Linked DNA regions of Sus scrofa. The protein of the gene in region 2 interacts with the protein of the main gene of each other region in a biochemical or structural test. Links are inferred from orthologs where the notes say so. Each region holds a gene or a part of one and is shown on either strand. Other genes may lie near its edges.

Region 1 (2,197 bases), on a different chromosome or scaffold from region 2:
TCAATAGGGAGTCAGGGGTGTGTGACAGAGAGAGGCGGGGGATGGGGGGGATGAACCACACAAGAGGCACAGGAAACAAGCCAGACCCTGATCCTGGGGGAAGCCAAGATCTGGGAATGGTTGAATAAATTGCCAAACTAAGAGAAAAACTTCTATGCCTAGCTCTGGTGGACCTCACCCTCAGCACTCGAGCAAGTGGGGGACCTGAGGACCCTGGGGAGCGGGAGAGAGACGGAAGAACACACTGATGCTGGCATTTTGCTTATAAACCCCACCCCCCACTCCACCCCCACCCCATTCCTTCAAAGTCAGGTCCTGGGGTGGGATGCAGTTCCAGTTCCCTGGATGTACTGGGTGCAGCCAGATGTTAGAGAAGGGAGAGAGGACTTCCTGGTGGTTCTTATCAAGAGGCCAGAGATTGAGAGGAGGAAAATTCCACTCCAATGCTTCAGATCCCCCCACCCAGTCCCAGGGCCACCAACACTCATGGAGCTCTAACTAGTGTGGACCTCTGTCCCCCAGCACCAAGGCCAGAGAAAATGGGGTCATGAGGACCCCCCAAAGCATCTGCCCTCCAGCTTGAGGACCTAACCTCAAAACAGATGCCCCCTATTAGCCCTTGGCACAGAGACAGACAAGCAGTTCTGGTTTGGGGTTTTGGACCCACAGGTCCCCCCTTACTCCTCCCTATTAGGGATCCCACACCATCTGAGGCCCTGTCCCACTACCCCACCCTGGAGCCTTTGGCCCTGCTCCACTGCCCCATCCCAAGCCTCACTGGGACACTGTGCTGGGGACACTCCTTGGATGCTGGGCATCTCTACCATTCCAGGGAAACTGGAGAGAGAAAGTATATTGTTTCTCTCCATATTATTTTCTCTTTATAAAGATGTCAAGCTGGGCCTGGACCTTGGCAGGCCTTGACTCTGTCATGACCTCCTGGCTGGGACTCTACCCCAAGCTGAGGCCCCTCTCCGCAAAGAGGCCCCATCTCATGGCCCAAGGTTGAGCTGTCGCCGCAGCTTCTTGTCCTGTCCTTCCCAGTCACCCCAAGGAGGCCCCTCCCCACCACGCAGAGACCCAGTCTTCCCCCTCAATTCCACCTTCCTCATCATTGCCTGTCCGGGTCCTGGGCCGGTCTCAGGCCAGACCCCGCTGCCCCCACAAGCCTGGCTTCAATTAGAACTCATGGCCCTCTCAAGGTTGAGACCCCACCCCCATCTAAGGGGCCCGGTTTAGCCGCCCGGTTCTAGAGCGGCAGGTCCCGTTCCCCTGGGCTCGCTAACTCCCCCAACACAACCCAAGGCCGTTGACCTTGCGCTCAGCCTAGAAGCACTCCCACCTTCTTCCTGCCCCCTGCCAGCCCCAGACCAAAGGTCCACCCCACGGAAGGGGCCTCATCCCCATCCAGCTGTCCCCTTCCGCGTCGTGGCCCCCGCCCCCAGGAGAACTTGGCGTGCCACAGGGTTACTCTGGAGGGGCGCACGGCGGGCCTGCCCGGCCGGGTCAGGCAGCAGCGCCACCGCCGGGGCCGTCAGACGGGGTGCAGGCGGTGACCCGTTCGCGGGCAGTGGCTTCGCGGGCGCGACTGAAGCTGCTGGGTTCCGGACGGCTGCAGGGCGTGCGGCAGAGCTGGCGGAAGCAGCGCTTGAAGTTCTCGTCCAGGAAGGCGTAGAGCACGGGGTTGAGGCTGCTGTTGGCATAGCCGAGCGCGATGCACAGGTGCAGCGCGGCCACCACGAGCGGGTCACGGCGGTCGATGTCCACCAGCGTCCAGACGATGACGAAGATGTGGATGGGAGCCCAGCACACTACGAAGGCTCCCACCACCACCAGCACCATGCGCGTGATGCGCCGGAGGCTGCGGTCCTTCTCCTTGGAACCTGACAGCAGGCGCACGCTGCGCAGCCGCAGCAGCATAAGGCCGTAGCACACGGTGATGACGAGGATGGGCACGACGAAGGCGAAGAGGAACACACAGATCTTGGTCACCGTGTCCCAATACCAGCTGGGGCTGGGGAACTGGAGCATGCACACCACTGCCCCGTCTGGGCCAGGGAAACAAGCAAAGATAGACAGGATGAGGGCCTTATGGGTCTAAGGATCTTGCCTCCCTGCTCGCCCACCCTTCTCCCCTTGGTCAAGCTCCACTGCCTCCTCCTGGCCTTTGCTCCAGGGGATTTTTTACCTGGAATGT
Region 2 (4,134 bases):
GCGCCCCCTCCCACCTTCCTCCAGACTTTGGCCCCTGAAGGTGGGAAGCAGAATTGGGGAGGGCTGCCCCAGAACCCTGGCACCATCTGGCCTCAAATAGCCTCTCCCCTCCCAGCCTGCTTTCCTGATGTTTCCTCTACCTCACCAGACACGTTATGCAGGAAATATGGTGGGTCAGGCCTAAAAAGGGCCCATAACCAGATGGTTTGGCATTTAATCTGTTCTCACTTTAGTTCTGCTTTCTTAACTCTCTTCCACTTCATCTTCCTTTTCAGGTGACAAATAAGGAAACCATACAGTGGGATGAAGGGGAGGGGTGGGAGCTGGAGGAGGGAAGTGGTTCAGGAGTACAAATATACTTGAGTATTAATCCTCTTCCATGAGTACAGAGTTGTTTTCCAAAGTATCTAGGTGCATAAAATATCGCGGGCATCAGGAGAGGCGGAAGCATAAAAATAGCGTATGTACACACCAGAGTAGTGTGATATTAATAAGCTTCACTCCATGCATCTCTGCTTTCTCACCTTAACTTAGACCATTTTTGTGCAAGAGAGAGTAAGGGCGAGAGACTTAAAGAAGAACAAGAGAAGACTAAAGCATTTGGTATTGATCAACAAGTCCAACTTGAGCAGCTTTCCAGACGCCCCGCTCAGGTCCTGCCCATTCCTTCCAAAAAATGAGTGCTGGGAGGGGCGGCTTGGAGGGGACTCTCTCACAGAGGGGACACACAGATTTTAGAGAGGATGAGAATTTATCTTCCTTTCACTTTTCAGCCTCTCTGTCTCAAACCTTTTCCCCAACCTTCTTACCCCGACCCCTACCGCAACCCACTCACCCACCCCTGCAGATCTAGGGCTCAGGAGGGGAGAAATGTGTAAAAACTACATTTTGGTATCCGTCCGCCTTATTAGGCCAGAGCTGATTCACTGACGTCAACTCCCGAAACCGGCAACATTTCAGTTCAGAGGGAAAGATTGTATCCTGGGGCGGAGCGGGGAACTCCAGAGAGAGGTAAACTTAACATGAGACCCTTTGGTTTTAGTCTGTGTCTCCTCGTCCAGCCCTGTTTTTCCTAAATGCAGACCCCGCCCCCGCCCACCCAGCACACCGAACAGCCCGGGTGGGAGGGGCGGAGCTCGCCGGCAGAGGAAGGAGCGGCACTAAGCAAAGCGCGGTATCACTCCGCTTCCGTGAGGCCGGATCCCCTGAAACTCCTCCTCCGCGGCGCCCGCTGTCGGTTTTGGTTCAGTGGACGTGGCGAGACAAAGTCTGCGGAGGGAAAGGTAGCTGTTAAAGAGTCACTAGGAGCGGGTCGCTGAGGCGTCCTGGGGACGGGAAGAAGAAGGAAATACCCAAACGTGACAGTTCTTTGCAGTTACGGCCCTTCATCTGATAAAGCAGGTATCTCGTCCTGAATCCCAGGTGCAGGGCCCATCCCCAAACATAGTCGCCGCCATTGTCTCGTGTTCTTGCGTCCGTCTGACTGTCTGACCTTCTTTCTTAGGGCTCGGCATCTCTCGAGGCAAGGGAATGAGAAAACTGCTTCTGATCCAAGCAGAGCAGGTCAGTGAGAAGGCAGGCATCGCTTGGGAGTGTGGCTGTGGGTGTTAGAGGTGAATGTGGGAGATGTGACCTGGTCATGGGGTGCGGGCGGTGAGAGGGAGAGAGGGACGAGGGTCATTTGAATGGCATCCAACGATCAGTTAAAATCTACCTCATGCTAGCTTGATCTCCAGACAGTCGCCCCACCTCCGACCATGTTTGGGGAAGGAAAAGAGTGTAGTTAGCGGCTTCTAGTGGAGAAATGGCGGATTATATTAGGAGGAGGAGGGGGCTGCTGCTGTGGGCAAGAGCAGTTGTCTGGGGACCCCTGAGAGGGAAAAGTGTATAAAGAGGTTGTGTTTGATAATCAAGGCCCTGGATTAGAAAAGAGCCTCTTGTCCTGGCTACTAGGCTAACCGTTAATAACCAAGTCTCTCCTGCTGTCTTCTCATTTGGTCCTTTGAGTGTGTATCATGCGTTTATATCTGTAGGTTTCTTGCTACATTTGCGGTACTCTACGTTTCTGTAAAGATCTGTAGGGGTCAGCGAACTTCAAAAGAAAGGGGAAAGGAAAAAGGAATTTGGCCTAATTTCTGTAGAGTGGGCAGTGCTTGGATGGTTAAGACTAGAGCAGATAGGGGTCTTGGGGAAGCTCCAGATCTTCTTTCTGCCAGCTTTCCAAACAGGCCTCCCTTAGTCGCACCGTATTTTCAATGGTAGGCTTTGGGGAGGAGAAAGAAACACAAGAACTTAGATGAAATTTAGAAATAATACTTTTCATTGATTTCTCAGCCAGCTTCCATGGTTTTTCTGAGCATTCTACCCTTACTAACACCACTATCTTGGAGGAATGTCTCAGTTGTCTCTGCAGGGGAATTGTCAGACTTTGAGAATGGAGCAGAGGAGCTTGGAGATTTGGCAGAGGGGAGGAAGAAAAGGAGATAGAAATTTTTGGCAGTCCGGTACCTCTATCCAGAAAGAATCAGTGTCCTAGGTGCTGCTCTCTACCAAGGACTCCCATTGTCTCCTGTGTCTCTTTTTATCTCTACATTTGTGCATCTCTGTGTGTAGATCTATCCTTGGGTGTTTGGAACTCTCAATTGTTATGAAGGTTTATAAATGGTTAACCTGACTTGAAATAATGAAGAAGAGAAATATGTCTTGTATCTCTTTAGATTGTTGTGAGGGGAGAGTGATGGATACTAGAGAACGCTATGTCTTCTGTTTTGGCAGTTTACTAACCCGTTTGGTCCTTTGCTGATTTAGTTGGGAGTCTTCTTAAGTCTTGGGCATATAGAAAGGTAATATCTGCTTTATTACTTCCACTTGGTTTTCCTATTTTTGTGCTTCATCCTAGCCCAGTTCTGAAATAGGCAAGAGCCAGTGCAGTCAATGAAGAGGGAAACGGCCTGAAACAGGGAAGAGGAGCAATCATGAAGCAAGGCAATGTGGGAAGGGACTCGAAGGAGGGAAACGCTAGACAAATACAAACATAGGGACGGGGGATCAAGGTCAGTCTACCAAGAGATCAGTTTCCATATCTTTCTGTTTATTTGTCCATAGATCTGCCTTTAGGTCTGCTCTAGGACGTGTCATCACTGAAAGCAAGGAAAGGAAGGAAGTATTACTCCAGATTAGTGCGGGTTAGTGTGAGTGTGAGACTTCCTCAGTAGACCTGTAGGATGAGGTAGTGGAGATCTGCTTGGGTACAGTAGTGGTAAAGAACCAGAAGAGGGATTCTAAAGTCTCTCTCACTCCCATCCAGCTTTTCCACTCTCCATACTCCTATTTTGTGTCTGGAAAAAAGATCAATTGTACCTGCAATAGTAGGGAGCATAAAATGAAGGGGGAGAGAGTTTGCTAATTATCTACCTTTTCCACTTAGCACTGAATTTCCATGTTTCCCTGTCTCTCTGTGCTATCAACATGAGAAAAAAAAATGGAAAAGACTCAAAGCCCCATTTCCTTCCTCCACCCCTAGGTCCAACTTCAGTGGCAGATCTGGTGGCCTTGGAGTGGCTGAAGACCACCACCCTCCACAGGGCTGCGCTCAGGCACACAGCCATCCTTTCCTTCCCTGAGTGAGCTTCCTCTGCACGTTGTTCATATCATTGGCAGGGCCTATAGTTGGAAAGGGGGCTTGAGTGACAACTGGACTTTGTATGAAAACACCAACCTGGGACAAACCTTCAGTCAAGGCTGAGACGTGGGTGGGGATACATAACTTGGCCTTGCCTTTAACTTGGATCATGACTGGCTTCAAGGCTAAGGAAAGGGCAGAGGAGGGGCTGGGGCTGGCCTGAAAGTTGGAATCAGTGGCCCTGCCAACACTAGAGCCAAGGCTAATATCCAAGCCAAGGCAGTGACTGAGGCAGAACTGAAGACAGGACCAGTGATCCAGACCAAGACGGGATGGAGCAGTGGCCAGGACACAGACAGTGACCTACACTGAGGCCATGGCTATGACCAGGGAAGTGAGCAAGATGGAAGCTAAAACTAAGACTAGAGTCGTGGCTGAGACTAAGTCAAAACCCCTGGTAGAACCTAGTGTAGTGTCCCAAACCAAGTCAAAGACCATGCCTGTGTCCAAGA

Evidence for each region.
Region 1: the proteins of GPRASP1 (region 2) and OPRD1 form a complex in vitro, tested with the Homo sapiens proteins (2 studies listed by BioGRID and IntAct). The link is inferred for Sus scrofa from reciprocal best matches to the Homo sapiens genes GPRASP1 and OPRD1.

Annotation. Positions count from the first base shown.
Region 1 is NC_010448.4:85,823,276-85,825,472, reverse strand, and holds part of OPRD1 (delta-type opioid receptor), read right to left. Parts: intron 2,049-2,197; coding exon 1,507-2,048; 3' UTR 1-1,506. UniProt on the Homo sapiens protein: G-protein coupled receptor that functions as a receptor for endogenous enkephalins and for a subset of other opioids.
Region 2 is NC_010461.5:83,764,076-83,768,209, forward strand, and holds the start of GPRASP1 (G-protein coupled receptor-associated sorting protein 1), read left to right. Parts: upstream 1-1,401; intron 1,402-1,504; 5' UTR 1,505-1,563; intron 1,564-2,899; 5' UTR 2,900-3,053; intron 3,054-3,523; 5' UTR 3,524-3,623; intron 3,624-3,812; coding exon of another isoform or gene 3,813-3,951; intron 3,952-3,952; coding exon of another isoform or gene 3,953-4,134. UniProt on the Homo sapiens protein: Modulates lysosomal sorting and functional down-regulation of a variety of G-protein coupled receptors. Targets receptors for degradation in lysosomes via its interaction with BECN2.